Linked DNA regions of Neodiprion lecontei. The protein of the gene in region 4 binds, or shares a complex with, the protein of the main gene of each other region. Links are inferred from orthologs where the notes say so. Each region holds a gene or a part of one and is shown on either strand. Other genes may lie near its edges.

Evidence for each region.
Region 1: acylglycerol kinase, mitochondrial (region 4) and mitochondrial import inner membrane translocase subunit Tim10 B share a complex: the UniProt entries of both Homo sapiens proteins name them as parts of the TIM22 complex. The link is inferred for Neodiprion lecontei from reciprocal best matches to the Homo sapiens genes AGK and TIMM10B.
Region 2: the proteins of acylglycerol kinase, mitochondrial (region 4) and mitochondrial import inner membrane translocase subunit Tim29 are in contact, whole or in part, in a cryo-EM structure (PDB 7CGP), measured with the Homo sapiens proteins. The link is inferred for Neodiprion lecontei from reciprocal best matches to the Homo sapiens genes AGK and TIMM29. Residues at the interface, in NP_060708.1 of Homo sapiens: His33, Asn36, Arg39, Arg40, Cys43, Gln44, Gln47, Asn51, Lys82, Pro86, His89, Leu90; in NP_612367.1 of Homo sapiens: Tyr145, Gln146, Cys149, Arg150, Tyr151, Leu152, Gln153, Arg155.
Region 3: acylglycerol kinase, mitochondrial (region 4) and mitochondrial import inner membrane translocase subunit Tim22 share a complex: the UniProt entries of both Homo sapiens proteins name them as parts of the TIM22 complex. The link is inferred for Neodiprion lecontei from reciprocal best matches to the Homo sapiens genes AGK and TIMM22.

What each region holds. Positions count from the first base shown.
Region 1 is NC_060263.1:26,786,769-26,793,189, reverse strand, and holds mitochondrial import inner membrane translocase subunit Tim10 B, read right to left. Parts: upstream 4,451-6,421; 5' UTR 4,152-4,450; coding exon 4,050-4,151; exon of another isoform or gene 3,932-4,049; coding exon of another isoform or gene 3,908-3,931; intron 3,786-3,907; coding exon 3,690-3,785; intron 3,520-3,689; coding exon 3,304-3,519; 3' UTR 534-3,303; downstream 1-533. Other genes in the region: UTP--glucose-1-phosphate uridylyltransferase, read right to left, coding at 5,249-5,461, 5,817-5,983, 6,200-6,337, 6,416-6,421. UniProt on the Homo sapiens protein: Component of the TIM22 complex, a complex that mediates the import and insertion of multi-pass transmembrane proteins into the mitochondrial inner membrane.
Region 2 is NC_060264.1:30,477,130-30,480,784, forward strand, and holds mitochondrial import inner membrane translocase subunit Tim29, read left to right. Parts: upstream 1-1,658; 5' UTR 1,659-1,851; coding exon 1,852-1,993; intron 1,994-2,179; coding exon 2,180-2,281; intron 2,282-2,590; coding exon 2,591-3,000; 3' UTR 3,001-3,117; downstream 3,118-3,655. Other genes in the region: uncharacterized protein LOC124294430, read right to left, coding at 1-221, 374-442, 549-654, 784-965, 1,251-1,272. UniProt on the Homo sapiens protein: Component of the TIM22 complex, a complex that mediates the import and insertion of multi-pass transmembrane proteins into the mitochondrial inner membrane.
Region 3 is NC_060262.1:34,056,449-34,061,330, forward strand, and holds mitochondrial import inner membrane translocase subunit Tim22, read right to left. Parts: upstream 3,209-4,882; 5' UTR 3,046-3,208; coding exon 3,045-3,045; exon of another isoform or gene 2,964-3,044; coding exon 2,703-2,963; intron 2,521-2,702; coding exon 2,336-2,520; intron 2,185-2,335; coding exon 2,112-2,184; intron 1,745-2,111; coding exon 1,662-1,744; 3' UTR 540-1,661; downstream 1-539. Other genes in the region: septin-1, read left to right, coding at 1-27, 158-290; uncharacterized protein LOC124293463, read left to right, coding at 4,818-4,882. UniProt on the Homo sapiens protein: Essential core component of the TIM22 complex, a complex that mediates the import and insertion of multi-pass transmembrane proteins into the mitochondrial inner membrane. In the TIM22 complex, it constitutes the voltage-activated and signal-gated channel.
Region 4 is NC_060262.1:42,239,683-42,244,839, forward strand, and holds acylglycerol kinase, mitochondrial, read left to right. Parts: upstream 1-1,882; 5' UTR 1,883-2,261; coding exon 2,262-2,371; intron 2,372-2,470; coding exon 2,471-2,590; intron 2,591-2,773; coding exon 2,774-3,164; intron 3,165-3,326; coding exon 3,327-3,442; intron 3,443-3,614; coding exon 3,615-3,802; intron 3,803-3,935; coding exon 3,936-4,076; intron 4,077-4,166; coding exon 4,167-4,300; intron 4,301-4,466; coding exon 4,467-4,589; 3' UTR 4,590-4,611; downstream 4,612-5,157. Other genes in the region: tRNA (cytosine(34)-C(5))-methyltransferase, read right to left, coding at 99-206, 278-440, 632-716, 815-1,297, 1,568-1,633. UniProt on the Homo sapiens protein: Lipid kinase that can phosphorylate both monoacylglycerol and diacylglycerol to form lysophosphatidic acid (LPA) and phosphatidic acid (PA), respectively. Does not phosphorylate sphingosine. Phosphorylates ceramide.

The DNA.
Region 1 (6,421 bases), on a different chromosome or scaffold from region 4:
TCCAACCGTCAGAATTGAATTTCTTACGTATTAATCAAATGGGAATTACAAAATCTCGATGTCGCACCTCTTAAAAAAATCGCACGGCGATTTCCTTTCACGAGGTTCAATATTATGTTATAAACTACGATTTCATGAAGCCGGAGATCGAAAAAAAAAATTGTTTTTTCTTTCTTAGGCAGTCTAATATATACTGTATATATTCTAACTATATCAGTGTATATACTATACATATATATTATAATATATACTATATATACACTGTATATACTATACATATACTATGTATATCCGTGACATATATAATATGCGTGCATATTATATAGAATGTAACTCGTTCGACTTTCAGAATCGCGATATCTCAGAAATGATGATTCTTAGGAAAAAAAAGTATAGAGACCATTTTTGTGGATAATTTTATGATCTACAATTTTGGTTTAAGCTATTTTTTTGATAAAATTAACCGTTAACGAGAAAAATCGAAAAAACCAAAAATTTTGACCTTTGACCTTGAATAACTTTTTTAGCACACATGGTATCGATGGGGAATTTTTTATCTTTCTTTATAATGGTAAACCCAAGGTCTCTACCAAAGTTCAGCTCTGTCGGAATTATTGTGATTCGAAATGTCTAAATTGACCGGACTATTAAATGAAGACCCGAGAGCTTCATATGTATTCCACACGGTATTCACCTTTAATTAGTTAAGTAGTTGAATGTGGTACATTTTATTTACGAAAAAAAAAAATTGAGAAACTTACGTCGATAAGATTAGATAGAATCGTTGGTAGATTCGAAAGTACATGTTAAAATAGGGCCTAGTCATTAAATATTAGGATATTTACTGAAAAATAGAAAATAAAATTCGGCTGAGACAATGACATACTTATACAAGAGTAATATAGATGGGAAAAATGAATTTGAGTACAGAAGTTTTGCAACGTTGATTATCCTGCTTTAATTTTTCACCCAGCTTTACTATTTAATGAATAAAAATATACTACAGCACTCATATGGCAATGGTTGACACGATAAAATTGCGGATATCAACTTTGTAGACAAGAATGCAAATACGTCTGTATTTGTACATAATCAGAACTGAAATTTCGTTTAGAAAAAAATCGTTTATATTTACTTATAATCAGAAAAAGAGAACAAAATCTATTAAAAAAGTACACAATATTGTTTACTGGAGTACGAAACTTGTGATTAGGCCTGTTATATATACATAAGTGTATTTGAATAACTTGTCACTTGACAATATAAGTAGACAATACAAATACAAAATATACTCATATATTTTGGGTAAAAATGCTAATATTGCTGATGAGTATGTGTTGTCAAAAATTAGTCTGCTAACTCCTGTGATTTTTTATATTTTTAATGATTGTTAATTTTTATTTATATACTTTCCATTACCAGTAGGAGTGCTGTATAGGATATTTATATAAAAAATCAAACGCTTATTAAGTTTAATTTTAACACTGCATTACAGGTATGTGAATGCAAATGGGCGAGCTTATAAAAAATATTTTAAGTAATTTCGAGTACTTATAGATTTGCAGGCAAATAATAATTATTTATTATTTTCATAGGCATGTGAAGTTAATTTATTCATTCACATTTTGGCAGGTAAAGAAGTGATTCTAATATCGTGAAACCAATTTGTATATCAATGCCATACACATTAAATTCATTCCTTTAACATGGCAACGCAATTATTCATGAAATACGAGAAATAAATGCTTGAGTGATGGAAATTACAAGTACGTCAAAAGAATAATGTTTCTAAATCATTGAAGCACTCGATATACCTGGTTTTTTAATCGGTCCCCTTTTGTTACATGCAATAGATTCCTATCTGTAATTTACGCGATTTCAATTGAATTTGCTTTGCTAAGAAAAAATGTAAAGTTGCATTCCTAATTACGATTACTTGATGTACAGACTGAAATGTCGCTGATCTCATACACATCACAGGTACATTATGTAGACCATTGCACATATAGTAATTTGTGTAACCACGTCTGCTGTCACATGGGTTTTAAAACTGTTAGTGTTCCACACCAGTATTTGTGACAGCTTTAGATGTGAATCTGTGACAATGTCGAAAAAAAAAAAAAAAAAATGGGGGAAAGTAGTAGTTTCAGAAAGCAGTATGTTATTACGTCAGATCTTAGAGATATTTTGACGTTTGAATTGAACAATCAAAATGATATTTACTACAAGCTTGTGTGAGCATTTTAAAATTTTAAAACACTATTACTTTCAAATGCAACAATATCATTTTGCTTGGTTCATGCTATAATTTTTAGCAAATTGACGACAGAGAACCGTTAAACTTTAAAACAGTGTATTGAGGCAATATATTGTAGTCGTGTTCTGATATTATAACAAAACTGTAATAATATTATTCGTATATATACATATACATACATACCGTATTCTGTATATACACACATTTTCAATAATAAATCAATGCTTATGTAATATGTACGGCCCTGTATTATTATTTAAACTAATTGGCTTATTATTTTTTAACAGTAGGATGGTCAGACTGAAAAATTTCAACTAATTACTTACCTAGAATCACTTGAAAAGTAATGTTATAATATTCAATGTTCCTTGCAAATATGTATTAATTAAGACGAAACTGGTCTTTGCTTTGTTTACATTTTGATTTCCAATCTTAGCAAGATGATATATCACAACTTATGTAGAAAATCTAATAAACTGAATACTTGTACTTTTGCCATTCACTCATTCTCAAAATCTGAAATGCAAAGAACCAGAGAATATGGTAAGAAAAATATGTACATACAATTACACAATGCAAAGGTTGAATGAACAAATTCAGTTTTTATACGTTGAAAATATTTACAGAGTAGTTAACTATGATTACACTCCCAACCGCTGCATACAACAGGAGGAAGACGTATTACATATTGCTTGCAAAACAATCTTGCTGCTACCAGCTTGCTGTAAGAAAGACGTTCCTGAGAGGATATCTGTTTCAAATGACTGCCATTACGAAGCGCATAATAAGGAGAGCCATGAATTGAAAAATGCTGGTCCTTAAGGAATCCTTGAATCATAAAAGACCTGTACCAACAATCAGTATGACAAAGAGGCTCAAAGCAATCTTATTTTGACCCTATTGCCAAACAAGGAACAGCTGAGCAACATAACACACCCTGACAATATTGAAAAGGTGAACAGCATAAAGTAAAATAAATATATCATATTATAAAATAATGTAATATAAAATATTAAATAACATAAAACGAAAGGCTAAATTGTGGGTCAGACCAGTGGCTGACTTTGTCGTAAATTTTGACTAGTTTCTGTGTCTTGGGTGTCTTGCTGCAGTTGTTGCTGCTGTGCCATAGCTGCAGCTTGAGCAGCATTCATTTCTTCTGTCCTTTTATTCATTAAAACAGGTAGTACCTCCATATAGACTTTCATCATTTTGGTATTCGCTTTTACATGCTTCTGGGCACAGTTATTTACACAAGCTTCCTATGGCATTACAAATAAATAGTTATTCTCAATACATGCTGCAAAGATATGTATGTGTAATGAATATACATAATATTGGAAAGCTGCAAGTATTTTTATATGGTGTAAAAAGAACTGAAATCTGAATCTTATCCAAAATTCAGAAAACATTCACCGATCGATCATCTCACCTCATCCACATCCATGTCTCTGGAATTGTATGTATTTGTACATCGTTTGAAGCATGTGTCAGATATTTGATTGTAGAGCGTAAGGAAATCCTTGAACTGCAATAAAAATTATTCAAATAATGTCAATTCTGTGTTATGGTAGAGCGCGATAAGAATTGCTTATGAAGTAAATAGAAGCAGCATTCAATTGATGACAAATTATAACAGAAAATACAAACATTTCTTATCTCCCTTAAATCCATGTTTTGGTGAATAAATTTATCACGGCCTCCACTACTAAATTATGAATTACAAATAATAATGAGTCTTGAGATTTAAATTCATGAACGGAATTCTCGTCATGCAACATAACCTACATACATAACTCACTGTCCTGATTTTCTGCGTGAGCATTTTCAACAAGTAGGAAAAGGAAAGGAGACATAACTCCGTACTCTTTTCGACGGCAAACGTGAGACACATTTGGTTGGAAATTCGTAGTACCGATAACGCCGCGCAGCGCTGGTTTCGTCTGTTGCATGGGAAATTTGAACGCGCTATATGTGTGCACAATTTTTAAATAATATCCCTCTTCCCGTTACGGCTCCGCCCGCTAATATTTTTAAATGCTTTTTGTGGCGAGATTATAAGACATAACCATTGTGAAGCTCATAGAGATTTTTGAAAACTCTTGAGCCTAACTTTCCTCCATATAAGAGTTTAATCAGAGCTTTCACAAGTGTATGATCCCGTTCAGACTTAGCTTACAAATATTGTTATATCTTCAAAACGATCGATCTGGTTGTAACAAAATATGTCTTAAAACCTGGTCAGACGTTGTAGTTATCCACAGAAAAAAGGAATCAAAATCGGGGGAGTTTATAAGCCAATATACGGATAGCAGAGAAATAGAGCGAAGTTGAATTTTACGTATGTATGTATGTACAACAAACAAATATTAAAAATACTAGAAATTTCTGTCTATTACTCACGAAGAACATATTTCTAGATGAATACGCCACTGCAGTTACAAACATACACATGCTAAGTGTTCATGCTAACAACCCGATGAAACATCCAGTGAATCGGAACGACTTGGGCCCTGAAGTTTGCACCTGGATATTCATGACGGCAATTTTTCGTTGAAATAACATTTGTATGTTCCAAAGCACGTAAGAAATTGGAATACAAGGAATTTACAGTAAATATTATTCCGATTTTGTTTTTTCATTATAAGTAATATCTTGCCTGTATGTGGTATTTTTAATGTCCATTCAAGTGTTCAGAATTAGTGCTTCCGATGATCTCTGAGTTAATATTTTCATTCTTAAATTTTGTATATGTACATAAATACTATACATATACATATAATAAGATAAAGCTAAACTTACAAATTGCAACAATAAGTAACGAATAAAATTAGACCACTAAAACTTATTCAGCGAGGGTATAATTAATTATCATTACACATTTTGTACACATTTTTTTGCTAATCTTAGGCCTAGTGTATATGTATATATATATATACACCCACACACAAGACTTTGTGCATGTGATGAACAAACTTGATATACCATAAACTAATGATCCAAAATACGTAGATTTCCGGATACAATTTTATTTTCTAAAATAGTTCCCGAAGGTATGTCGATACGGTCTCCATGATTTGCTATAATAATAACTGTGCCTTTGAGAGAAACTCCTTTTCCAAATGTAACATCGCCGGATACAGTTAGATGATCCAGTTCTAAGAGATCTGGGATTGAGGCAAACCTACGTAGATACTCTTTTACCTGAAAAAATTAATAATAATTAGAATACGTGAAGTGTAATCAGGATTATTGGTTTATCTCTTATAGAATTCCTAAAGTAACAAAGCTTGCAACACGTGCGGAACAAATGAAAAAAATACAATTTTCCGCGAGCATCACAACCTTGCGTCGATTATGGTATTTCAATGCTTCAAGTATTATTCTAATTAGCTAACAATAATCTGGGCACAAACGTCATAAACGTTGGTATTTGTGAATCAATTACGTATTGATTCCTGGTTTTAATAGACTTGTAATTTGTTCCTCACTTTTAGAGAACTGTTAAATTTAAAATATAGCTCACATAGACAGCTATCTTATGAGATAATAATAGCACCTTTGAAAAGTGATTATCGCCAAGTTTGATGAGTGGAGTAGTTGGAAACATCCGCTGGGGACTCATGAGGAGAGCTCCTTTGCGTAAACTGTATAAGTTACTCATCACCAACATGAGATCAGAGGTCTTTTTCACAGGTAAGAATCTGCTACGTGGTACGTTGATGCCTATAGATCAGAGAAAAAAAAAAATTAAAAAATTAGCATTATATGAAAGTAGTCTAAATTTCTATAAAGATTTTTCGAAACAGTTAAGGAATTTGTTTGAAACTTTCAAATGGTTGGCATTTTTTGCTTGGATAGAGTATTTATTACAGAGTTAATGTACAGTTAAGAAATAGTTTAGCATAATTTTATTTGACTGCAAGTATTGGGTGAACTCACCAAGACCTCCATCAAAGGATTTCATAGCTGCACCTACAGCTGTTTCTAGTTGAATAACGTTCAAACCATTACTCAAGCTTTTGTTATTCACAATAATTTCCATGTTGAGTGTTTTTTCTTCTAAGACTCTCTCAATAGCTGCAAGAAATAATGTTCGCAATTGAAACTAGCTAATGAACAATTTCATAAATTCTGAATAGCGTGTTCCGTGCTTACCAGTGA
Region 2 (3,655 bases), on a different chromosome or scaffold from region 4:
ATCTGGTAACACTAAGAGCTCTGGCTCCTTTACCACCAATTTCAGCTCTTTTGAATCGTATGGCACACTTGTACCTCGGAATATCGACAACGTCAACACACTCCACAGCAAGCAAGCAACCGATCTTATAATTGTCAGAATTAATTTTCCAAAGTAGTATATTGGACACCACAGTACGTAGAAAATGCAATTTAGGATGTCCAATAGCTCTACTTTGAGATCTGAAAAAGACAAACTATATTTCCGAAAAGCGAAAAGCTGTAGAGCATTATACTTTTTGAAGGATTTTCCTAACTTTTTTTTTTATTTTCACTACTTGTTGAAATGAAAGAACCTAAGAAATTAACAAGTTATGATAGTTGTCTCTACGTACTGAGAAGTAATGAGAAAAACGGTTTCTCCTTATTTCGATGCTTGCGGTTCTTCTGTTTTTTAAGCAATTCTGAAACAAGAAAAGATAATCATCACTTGGAATTACTATACTTGATGTTTACCAGAGATTAATCTTAAAACCAGAGGTGTATTAATTGGTCTTTATGTGTAATTACCAGTTGGACTTATTTCCAAAGAGGAAACGCGCTGTTTCAAAAGAGCTGCCGGCATTTTTGTCTGAAAAAATTCTTCTCTCATAGATTTTTCAGTCATCCTAGATACCTACAACAAAAAAACATAAACACACCCGTGTATGAAAAACAGACAGAATTAGATGCACAAAGGAATTTCGTGGTCGGAAATTCAATACTTTCACTTAGTTTTGCAGGTAAGTTCTACTTCCATTTTTACCCTGCTTTTTTCCTGTAGCAAGTTCTGAAAATCACATCGAAGCTGAAGAGTGTAAGAGTTAACGCTGAGATTGCTGCGAGAAAATTCATTTTCATGTCCGTTACAATGGTAAAAAGGATCTTGAAGTCCATTGATTCTATCTGTGATAGGCTGAAGTTTTGCGTATCTGCTGCGCACCATGTCTGAAAATAAAAAAAATGAGTCAATGTCTACTCTACTAAGCTATGCATAAAATTGTTCGAGCTGTACGATTCAAAGTTGATTACTTGCACATGTTATTCATGTTGAATTTTCTTCAAATATTGGAAGGGTCGAAACATTCCTAGGCTTCGTTAATTGAGGAATTGAGGAAAAGAAAAATCGTTGAGAAGATTTTAGAAATAAAATAGGGATAAACGCTGTGACATAGAAGACTAGGATAATGTGTCGCAGGTGCTTTAGTTAGAAAATCTAAAGTTATAAATTACCTTTTCCATTAATTCTCTCCATTTTGAAAATTATGTTGATTGAATTGCAGTTAGTCAGAGAAACATGATTGATGAAAATAATCCTTTGTTATTAACACGTAAAATTAAGTCGAGATTGAAATTGATATGACAATTTAAAGTTGAGCAATAATTTGCAATGAATTATGATATGATGACAATTTATTGTTTAACCGTAAGTGTCAAAATCCCATGTATTCAAGAGTGAAGTTAAAATTGAACGTGGGCTCGAAAATAAATGAAGAAAATGAAACAAATAAATAGATCGACTATCGTCCTTGTTCAAAATGTTTAAAGTTAATCCGCGTTCCGCAATGCTTTATGGGAAGTCCCCGCGCTTACCAAACCAGAGCAGACGACTTATTTAATTCACGATAAGAAAGCTAGTAGCCGTATTTTTCCAACTTTACTCAAGCGCGATGCTTTCGCGCCTCGGCTCAATTTATTAATTAATAGGAATTTTTCAACGTCACGTGCTTTGTCATTAACTAAGAACTTATTCTTATTATGGAATTTAAATGAGAGTGACTTTTCAGTGAGCGAAATTCAATCGCCGCACGCTTCGTTGATCAGTAAACTAACTATGGCGGTTCGGATATCCCATTTATTCCGTAATAGATTTAAACAATTTTTTAAAACCTATAGTACAAATTCAGCTGAGATAAGCAAAGCTAAGGATCCTGAAGTGACGGAGCAAGTGAAGGAACGGCTACTAGATCGTTGGGGTAAGAACAGGTCATGTTAATTTTTGTTCGAGGTTAAGTTAGGTTAGGTATTTACAGGTTATATTATATTTATATAAATTTGACGAAGCAATTCACAGAATATAGGGAGATCGGGTGTTAGCTTAGAGTATGCGAACTTGTTCGATAATCATTCGATAATTGTCACCTGTTTTATTTTCATTGTAGCAAAATATTGGAAGAATCTCTTCATTGACTACAGAGATGTGGCTAAGGATGTTGCACAAGGATGTAAGGATCGGCCTATTCGTGCTTCAATCTATTTCTCTCGTAAGTGAAAAATCATATTTCTTAATTTCCCGCAGTGAAACCTGCTGGAATGAGAGACAACTTAGTTTTTTTTTCTTTATCTTTATGATCTTAGATGTATCACTATACTTCTTTGTAAAGGATTCGCAGCTCATAAAAATACATGTTTAAGCCCACTATAGCTGCTCATCATTAGTGCAGATAACACTAATTATTGCAGTGAATCAAACCAAAAATACAAAAGAAAAATATATTTATTTAGAGTCAGAGGAGCCAGTAAATGTTCTGTATTCGGTATGAAATTTTCGTGTGAATTGGTTTATGTTTCAGTTCTAGGCAGTGTATACTACTTTTCACGACACAACCCTAGTCCAGATTCGTACAGAAACATGTTGATAGAAGAATCAAACAAGATGATGATGGTTGGAGAACCAATTCGGAATCGTCAAAGTGTAAGGCATTTGAAATCGATAGAACAGTGCTTCAATGAAGGGATCATACGCAGGTTGAGCTTGGGGATTGTTTCTTTTATATGGTTGGATAACTACGATAAAGAATGTGCTCACTACAAAGCAACATGTTCGTATCTCAAACCACAGTATTTAGGATTTCATCACAGAATAGTTGACATTGGTTTCATGGATAAGTGGTGGCTACTGGAGGACAAAATGACTGATTTTGATATAAATGAAGAGGAATTTAAAAACTTCTCCACTTCGCCAGATAAAATCGGCTCATAATGAGAATATCGAATATTATTGACGGATAAAATTACAAATATTAATTATTATAATAGTATTTATACATATGTACATATAGAAGGTTTATTCATTGAATAAATGTGCCTTCACACACAAGTATGGTAAATTTTTTTAAACTTATATATGCACTATTGATACTTTGGGATCGAAAGCTGGAATTTATTAGAGAATTATATTACAAGATGATGGAAAAAGAACGTGGCGGAATACTGCGCTTGAAAAAGATTCGAATGCTTCGAATTCATTAATTTCTGATAAAGTTGTAAATAATTTACTATTATTGGCCTATTCTGTTAGATCTAATCAAAAACTCGCGTGAAGGTAGTTGAAATGAAAACGTTATTTCAAGATATTTTCAATGAATTGTCCAACTCTCGTCAAAAGTCTCATCTAATTTCATGAACGGTGTAAAAAATCCCAACAGAGTTACCTTCTTATGAGAATATTCATGGTCCATGATCGATTGTGGCAACGGTTGCGCAGCGGGAGATAGAGAGAGGAGAGGAAAGCTGAAGACAAAATAGCTAATGCCGGTTGACAGCCGCAGTGATCCGTGGCTGTTATAAAATTCGGTAAAAGTTCAAGAATTCAAAATCTGGATTCGAAATCGCATCGATCCGCGACCGTGAAACGA
Region 3 (4,882 bases), about 8.2 Mb from region 4:
AGCTCCTGCGCCACCGAGACGTCAAACGTATGTCACCCAATGGTTTGACCCTGAGAAGTCTATGAATTTCATGATCAATATATTTATACACTAGTGGTTTATAATTTTTTTTTGCTTGAATTATTTTATAATTGGCCGAATTATTTTCAACTCACAGGATTATAGAGTCAGAAAAGACGAATACTGTGAGCGAAAAAGACCGTATTTTACAAGAAAAGGAAGCGGAATTACGACGCATGCAGGAAATGGTGGCTCAAATGCAGGCCCAAATGCAACAACAACAACCTTAGAATTGAAGAATATTTAAATACATCTTGAGGATAAAATCTCCATCTTGCCAGGTGCCAAAAGTCGAAAGAAACTACAGTACTGTCTTAAATTTTGATTCGTAAAAAGGAGTGGTCCAATAATTGGTATTAATTTTGGAATTTGCCATTCCGAAATTCCAAATCAGAATCGATTTTATTTTACCACCAATTCATAGGACGTAGTACAATTTTTTTACTTCTCATCATAGTTTATAATTTTTTAATTGTGAATGTTTATGTGCTGTGGGACGTGCATATTGAGTGATAGAAGCTAAACCAAAAAAACAAAATAACCAAGACACAAAAACATTTGTTACTTACATATCTGTGTGCATTGTAAAGAGAAATATGAAGAGTGCCTTGCAGTATTTTTTTTTTAAACGAAATGTGTATCATTTTAGCCAACTTGTTCTGCACAACCCGCACTTTTACATAATTATTTAGTGAAAATTAATTTCAAAAAAAACTTTTCGAGGTAGAATAAATATGACAATATCAAGCCATTCCTGACAAGAAGATTAGTGAATTTCTTATACTAAAGGTATAAAGATACCCATTAGTTTTTGCTTGCAATGTTAATAACAATATCACATATCCGCGCGATATTTATGTTTTCTATGTTGAAATACGTTCCATATTGTATGTGCGATATGAAGTTAAAAAAATCTCATAATTCGTACAAAATTTCCTCATATCAAAGTTATGATTAAATATACTGCCAGTTTTAGGTATTGCAAATTCCTGAATGTTAACAAGCAATTAGAATCGTATTAGGTAATGGCGAATTTCGAATATGAGAGAAGAGTATATATTTTCTATAAATAAAATAGGTTTAATTGTTCGTTGTGACAACGCATTTACTCTGTACTGATCTACATATAATACTTTTTTCATCTGTATTTAAGTGGAATTTTTCGGCTTTATACAATTGTATTTTCTAAGTGAAAGCCTTTTATTATTCCTCACCTTTATTAGGAGGCATATTACCCTAATATCATTTTTATTGGCATTGAGAAAGTGAAGTTTGATCAAGGAATTGTCAACTATTTTGAAAATCTTTAAGTAGGTAGATACCGTAAGTGTGTAAGAAATTTTAATGCAAGAAAAATGTATATGAACTATTTTATTATAGATTAACAGATATTTACAACTCCTTCGTCAAGCCAAGTGATTTTAATCTAATAATTAAGTCTTATCCTGTGTAAAATTTTGATCTTCTCTATATTTTAATTTGAAAAAAATATATATTATTGACATAAAAATTACTTATTCAGCTTTTATTACACTATTCTTGCATATTATTTACAGTTAACAAGTATTATACAATAAATAATTTAATTTTGTCTAAAAAATTCAAGATTTATGCATATAGTAATCTATCGCTGTTGAAAATGCTGCAAAACCCGCAGCACCAACAAGACCCGCTTTCAGTCCAGCTAAAAATATTAGGTAAAATAATAAATCACGAAGTTTTAACTGTTTTAAGTTTGACAATGACATTGTAATTTTATAATACGTGTATTATAAGTTTCGCTAATTTTGTACAAATGTATGACAGATTTGTTCTGCATTTTGAGAGATTTTATTTGAAAATAATGTGTAAAGAAGTAGTTTTTCAAGTATATGTTTAATTTCGAATAGGTATAAGAGAATCTTTAAACCAACTTGGGTTTGAGCGATTGGATTTTAAAACGTGAAATTTTATTGTAGTGTAACAACAGGTTTGAGGCATCACAATCTTAGAAAAATCAAAAAAAATCTGAGTATATGCAATGATCAAGGGTGTAAATCAGTCTAACTTACCTCTAAGACCGATAAGTCCACCTGTCACACCACCAGCATAACTGCCGTTTCGCCAGTCAGACTTTCCCCTGTACTAAAAAGTAAGGGTCATTATACCATTCCAACCAGATTCATATATGATCTTTCAAGTAGAAATAGGGAGTACAATAACATTCCGAAAAGTAATCAAATTACCAACTGGAGAATAAGTCAAATTATTGTTAGTGCTATAACGTAAATCTTACTGTTTCTATGGTACATTCAACGGCTGAGAATACACATCCTACAACAGCAAAGTTTTTGGCATATCCAAGTGTCGTCATCTTCATTTCTTTGAATATTTCACGTGCTGTTTGCTGTTTTTCTACGCTAGCAACGTTTGGATTTACACTGGAAGAAAATAGACCGATAGCTGCACCAAGACCGTAGCCTATCGACATAATTCATCATGAGTCAGTGATGTGTATTCTTGAGATTAGGAAAACTTCATGTGCGTGACCACTTATAGATCAGGATCAAGATATGCACTTTATTTTTCAATCCTAAGTAATCTTCCATTTTACCTACAGGTGACGGGATTAGCGCAACCATTGCTAACGAAAAACTACATACCCATAACGCAACTCATGAAGCTTTTGAAGATGCAGCTCTCCATGACAGACTCCATGAGTTTCTCGTCGTTCGTTTTTATCCTGACGGGACCCATCACTCTAGGTATAATGATATTCTCTCTGAAACGTTGTTGAGTGCCGACCAAATGAACGGCTATTTTATCCATGTCAGGATCATTCATAAATACTCTCTTATCTCCTTCGGGAGTCGGTGGCGGCTTGGGTGGGTTGAAGGAAAACATCTCTTTGCGATTATTGCGCACTGGGATATGCGAAATTTAACACTCTTCTTTTAGAAATTAGTCAAACTACGTGAGGCACATTACAATTCGGAAATACATATTTTGGAGGTTAGGGCTTGGTTTGGTCGTTGACTGAAGAATATAAAGACAGTTGCCCTAATGGGCTTTGAGGGCTTTGGTATGACAACCGAAAATCGTCATGCGCTTGCGCCCCCTGAGACGTTCCTACGGTAGAGTTGAGAACTTGCTGCAGAACATCAGAGAGTTACCGATTTCGACATGATGCTGGCTGCATTCACCTTCAGAGTATCACAGTCTTCGCAATGGTACGCCCAAGCCAGTACGTAGCCTGTGTGTACTTACTGATTGGTTGGCAATACGAGGAATTAATGATCAGTGCAAATTTCTTTCAAAATTTGTAGCAAAACAGTGATTTAATTAAAGTATAGGTACCCGAGAGGAGAATGTATACATAGATCATAAATAGTAATAGGTCAGATGTAATAATAATGCAGAGACCAAAAAGTATGTATGTATATACGGTCCACGTGCGATATTGATATATGTGATCCATTTACGATTATTACGCGGTGCATACTATGAATTTTATAATTTTCCAGGAGACAAATTAGATTATCTACAATGATACGACTGTAATATGTGAATAAAAGACTTATTCATTTCGAAATGAGATTCCATTCGACACGCGCTCGGTGTATTCCATAACATTGTTATTCATAATTCGAACTACTTTTCATTTGGTGTATCAATATTGAGCTTTCGTAGGCATAGAATCGAAACACTGTTTTAGCTAGTCGCAAGTGAAGTATCTACGTTGGCTAGAAAAGCAGAATTGTTTTCGAAAAGTGTTCGTACGGAGAAGAATTCAGAATAACTGTAATGCATCTCGGATGCGCTGATTTTGATGATGAAATGAATCCTCCGTATATAAGACAGTATTTAATACAGTGTCCTAATTTGAATACCTAAAACGGTGATTCTCAGCGATTTTTGTTGTTGATAGAAAGAGATGGAACGGAGCTTGGTCAAGTTTCGAGTGTATTTGAACACACATTTGAAAGGCACGAGCAAAAGATTCTATCATCCAACTGTTACAGAACGGCGGCGTTATTAGCTGACCCGTTAATTGAAGAATATATCTTTGGTCGAAGGCTGACCATCAAAGAGCCTAGCCGCTTGAGTCTAAAATCAGCAGAAGAAATGAAGTGCGTATTGCTTGTCTAAAATGTGTAAACTGAAATCATTATAGATCATCTCATATCATCATACATCAAACACCATACATCATACATCGTACATCATGAACCATACGTTATACAACATACATCATACACAGTACTGAAGTTCGAAACCAAAGTATGCATGTTGGGATGATCAGAAAGTGACGTCACCCAAAATTTTTTTTTCTCGACGTCATCGATCGAAAATCAGCTAGCCGAATTCCTCAGTCTGGAAACAACCGCGCGGTAGAGCGGACGTATGAGAATTGCGCTCAGCAGATTTCGAGTACCGGGTTCTCTGTCTCCTGGATCCTGCGCTCCGGGTCGGCTACCTGGTCAAACTCGACTTCCAAGACAAGCGCTCGGTGGTTTCTGCGCTCCAGGTCCGTTTCCTGGTGCCACTCGAGTTCCAGGACAAGCGCTCCGCGGTGCCTGCGCTCATGTCCGCTACCTGTTGAAATTCGACTTCAGGGACTAGCGCTCGTAGTTTGTGCGTTCCAGGTCGGCTACCTGGTACAACTTGACTTCAGGGACAAGCGCTACGTAGTTTTTGCGCGCCAGGTCCGCTACCTGGTAGAACTCGACTTCCAGGACGAGCGCTCCGTAGTTTCTGCGCTCGAGGTGTACCACCTGATGAAACTCGAGTTCCAGGACAAGAGTTCTGTAGTTTCTGCACTCCGGGTGTCCTACCTCGTGAA
Region 4 (5,157 bases):
GACTCATGAAAACTCGAGAAGTAAACGATGAATGACAAAATTTAATTTCAACTTTAAGGCTATGCGAGAAAATTCGTGCAAAGTAAGTAAACATTCACCCATGAAGATTGTTTCCATTCGCAGGACTCCACTTGCACCAAATATCTGGATTTTTTCTCATTGTTCCATCCCCGCTGCAAGGTACATCAGCAAGAATTCTATCAAACCTGAATGGAATCGAAAAGTGTATTACTCAGATATGCTATTGGAAAGGTATTTCTGAGACAAGTCTATTTACTTTAACTTTTCTGTCGTGCCATCTGGTTTGGCAACATTGAAATTAGGCATTACTGACGAGTCGTGATTTGTAATCAGAATATTTGGGCTGTTCAATCTCTTAGCTTGATGTACCAACATGTAGCACCTGTTGTTGTCCACGTCATTGGCAATTACAAATCCCTCTGTTGACAAGGGACACATGGATAACATTGTAAAAAGTATTAAATTCCACAACTAGCGGTGACAATAGAAATTCAAGAAAAGTAGCAAAACTATTGGTTAATGGAAGGAAAAAAAAAGGCAAAAATGATAAAGCCGACTTGCTACTATTCCTAAAATGACTTGATCTCATTGTGTATAAGCATATATTCACCAGGATGTGGGTTGCTCTCATCAGAATGTATCATTTCAATTAACTGAGCTGTCTTTGAACCTGGTGCAGCACACATGTCGAGAACCTGAAAGATTGCAAACGTTTAGAGTTGATTGAAATGCATTCAGCTGAAGGAATTGGTTTACTTCATAAGTGTATCAGCAAATGATGATAAAATCAAACCTTATGTTGAGGTTTGACTTCCAAAACGAGGGGAGGAATCATGCTCACTACTTCTTGGCGACTTATGTTACCGCTAGCTGTTTCAGCAATCAAAAAATTATGTAGCCTAAAGTATGCCTCAGACCTTCGAATGTCCTTACGAGTCAACTGAAGCTGCCAAGCCAAAGAATCTGGATAAAATGGAAGGCATTTTGGATAAAGTTTTTCTTTCTCTTTGACTTCTTCCTCTTCATTTTCTCGTTTTATATTGATGATCTCATTGAAAAAATCCCCTTTAATTATATCAAGCAGTGCCTTCGTTTCTGCCTTGGAACCAGTTATTCGAAAGGCGGCCGGCAGGTTTTCCCGCATCTTGTTCATAAAAATGTACCATTCTTCGCTAGGAACGATATTTTGGGTTTTGTAATAATTTTCAAAATCAACATTCTCCCTGATTATTTCTTCATAGCATCTCTGCGGCCTTTTATCCCATTCATCTTTGTTCTGCAACAAGTTGATTTAGCTCGTTATAATCTATTTCGAAAATCCATCTGTCACAGCGATTGTAAGTTGCTGTTGGGTAAAAAATGTACAGCTTCCAGAGAAAAGAATTGTCATGTCAAATATTCAATAAAAATTAATTCTAATAGCAACATGCTTGCGGAGGGTAGAAGGATGAATTTTAGTGACATTTGCGGAATTCAATATCGAAATACCGTAAACTTAACCTCCAAATCAAATCAGAAACCGCATCAGTTCTGAAAAATTTTTTACCTTCTGTTTATCGCGGCGTTTTTCAGCAAAATTCTTCTTTGGCCTATATTTTCTACCTTTACCCATTATCACTTGAAATTACTGAAATATACTGCAAGGCCTACCGACTCGCATTAAACCACAGATTCCTATAAGTTGTCTGTGATACGCTGTATTAATGTCACGTGTAAACGGAAACCGCGCGGACACGATCACAGTCACCGATCTCTATTAGTATAGAGTTGTAATCACAGCTTAAACTACCGGGGCCACTAATCGTGAATGCGAGCGATGCGAGTAATGAGAGTACCAATTTGCGTATTCAGCGGTGACGATTTTGGCCACGCTGTTTAAAATCAGTACTCATTGCAGTCGAGTTCGATCTTCTAAACCGTTCAGTAGGTAGTTGGAGGATAGGGAATCTGTGCTATGGTTCGCAACCAGTCATGACTGAACCGTCTTTGAGGAAACAAGGTGTGTTCTTGCGCATCTATTGTCGTTTCGGCTATTGAAAATGTGCCCCCCCACATGACGTCATTTATATCTAACTATAATTATCTGGCGTCATGCAGGGGCTATCACGTGACCTTGCTACTGCGCATCTCTGTTTAAAGCACACGAAGCACACCAAAGAGCACACCGTGTTTCCTTATTTCATAATCAGTGGCGGTTTCGCCTATCGCCGGACGCCGAGACTGGCATTTAAACATAGGCTATGGCCCGAATTATTAAGTTCTTTAAAATTATAAGAAATAATTGGAAAAAATCCACCTTCGCTCTAGCTGCGATATCGTATGGTGGGTCCTATGGCATAGAGTCTTATAAGTGAGTACTTCCTTGCCTGTCAAGCTGGAAGTTATTTCTACCAAACAAACATAACCTTAACGGATTAACCTCTCGATGCTGTTGAAATTAAAATTTCAGCAAAGAGCAGTTGATGCGAAGGTATTGCGAGGATGCGGTCAGATATGGAGATATGCCACTGCCGGTAAATTTAAAACCGCGACACGTTACTGTCATTTTAAATCCAGCGGCTAACAAAAGGTATGTTCAAATTCTATGGTCATATGATTGGTGTGTCAGCGACAAGATTATTTTGATTACTACTAAAGTTTCATGGAAGCACTTCATATAAAATATTTTACTGATCCAGCGATATATAACAACTGCTCCAGATTTCTGGAACCGATATGTAATCATCGTTACCATTTGACGCTGTTGATCTAGAAAAGCAAAGGATTTGTTAGAAAAGTATTGCGCACCACTGCTACACCTTGCTGGAATAGCTGTAACGATCATTCAAACTGAATCTGAGGGCCAAGCACGAAGTATAGTTGAGAATTTGAATTCTCATACAGATGCCATAGTTGTAGCAGGTGGCGATGGGTCATTGTCGGATGTCGTTACTGGGGTGATGCGAAGGTGCAACACCGATGTCGAGATAGTCAAGCAATGCCCAATTGGCATTTTACCTCTCGGGCAGACCAACAATGTCGCAAAATCACTGTTTAATGGATACACAGATTTGCCACAGATACACGCTATGGCTGAAGCTACCATGGCTGTTGTCAGAGGCACTACTAAATTAGTTGATACTATCGAAATTGAGCCTCTTGAGGTAATTAATTAGACCGATCATAGGTCACTTGGTGTTTGCTAATTTTTCATTTTGCGAATTGTTTCTTTTTTTTTTTATCATCAGACCTTAAACTCGGGTAAATTGTAAGTTTTCACAGTGTTTGCTGTTTGAATTTTAGAACATTTATTCTCAATCTTACAGCAAGACCCTGAGAATATTATCAAACCAGTTTATGCAGTGGGCACTGTGGAGTGGGGTGCATGGAGAGACGCAAATGCTAAAGCCAACAAATACTGGTATTGGGGATCACTTCGTAGGTAAACAGTACAATTTTGGTGTATTGTAAATTTCCTGACATGGCCAAAAGCTTATAAGATGAAAAAGTTGCTTCAGCCATGTATTGATTTGCACCAATTGCTAGAACTTCAGTTACAAGTAATCTAATTGCAGGATCCAGTAATTCGGTTGTAATCAACTCTTATATTACAGATATGCAACTTATGTATTCAATGGTTACAAAAGTGACCTCACCTGGGACTGTAGCGCTGATTTACGATACTCAGAACCATGCAACGGGTGCTCTCGTTGTCGCCACAGCAGGCAGAGTAGTCATTCATCTTCCAGTGACAGACGTTGGTGGCATTCTTTTGTTCCAAGGACGAGGAGTGCATCTTTTGGTAATATCGATAGCAATTGTTCTCTAAAAGTATTCTCAGTACCAATCAGATGCACACTTACATAGTACAATAAAAGATAAGTAAAATTTGGCGTAATTAAAAGTTGATATTCATCAATAAATATCGTTTTTAGAAATCGATTATAGTAAGGTGATAAATGAAAAATGTGGATCTCTTCATGAAATTCCAATAGTCACAACCGAGTTGAAAATGATTACCAGTAATCTGGACTCTCCAACCGATCATAGTGTGCCAGCAATTAAAGTCCATTTAGGTGAGTTAAAGTAGCCATTGAATAGCTAAACCTATCATTCAATCTTCACATCAACAAATCCAAAATATTATAACAATCTTCGATCAATAGGTCCAGAAACCGTGAGCTACTTAGATTTTGTTAAGGAAGGATGGAAGCGAGCAGATGGTCACAAAACTGTCAACAAACAAACCATTGAGGCGAAGGATATTGAATTACGACCTCGTGAAACTGTTTCAAAACCGGTGAGTGAATATTTACATCATATTGTTATCCCTACTCGAACTTCCCTTGTGAATTTTAAAAAAGGGAATCGAGAATTTTAACAACTATGCGAAGTCATGTATTGTATTACATATAGTTTAAACCCTGGAATGTTGACATGTGTTAAACGTGAAATGTTTATTACAGGAACAAAGCAAAATGTTTTCCATAGACAATGAAGAATTTGAATTGAAGCCAATCAGAGTTAAATTACTACCAAAAAGTGTAACAATGTTTTGTGCGCAGCCTATGGATAGTGCAGTAAGCTAGTATAAATAAAGAGCTAACAGTACTTTTTGCGCCTTTCTTTTATCCTTTGCATTTAATACCGATGACGGATCATTTCCATCGGTGATTCTGTAAAAGTCTAAAAAATTTGAATATACACCGCCAACCAAAAGTTTGGGTACACCAGTCGAAATTTCTTGCCGCACTAAAAGTTAAATAGCGGACTCAAAAATAAAGATAATCAAACGTTCCAAACAGCGTTTTAAAGAGGACATATTTACCTTTATGTTTGTTTTTTCGAAAATTATTTACAATTTTTCTTGGATCTGGTACGTATTTTTGAACATGGCCGTATTTCCGCCATTCTTTAGTCTCCAACCAACATTTTCGTTCTTCATAAAGTATCGTATGATTTTTTTTCGCCCAAGTATTGAATTTTCAGCTCAAAAAGTTATGTTTTAGAAAAAAGCTGTAATTCAACAATTAGTGGGTTTCAGAGACAATGGCAAGAGGATAAAAAATTGCATAGGTTTACACTCGAGTAAATTGAACTTTGCCAGCATTTGGGGGGGATTTTAATGGGACTTTGATGAGTGGAGGGGCAATTTTG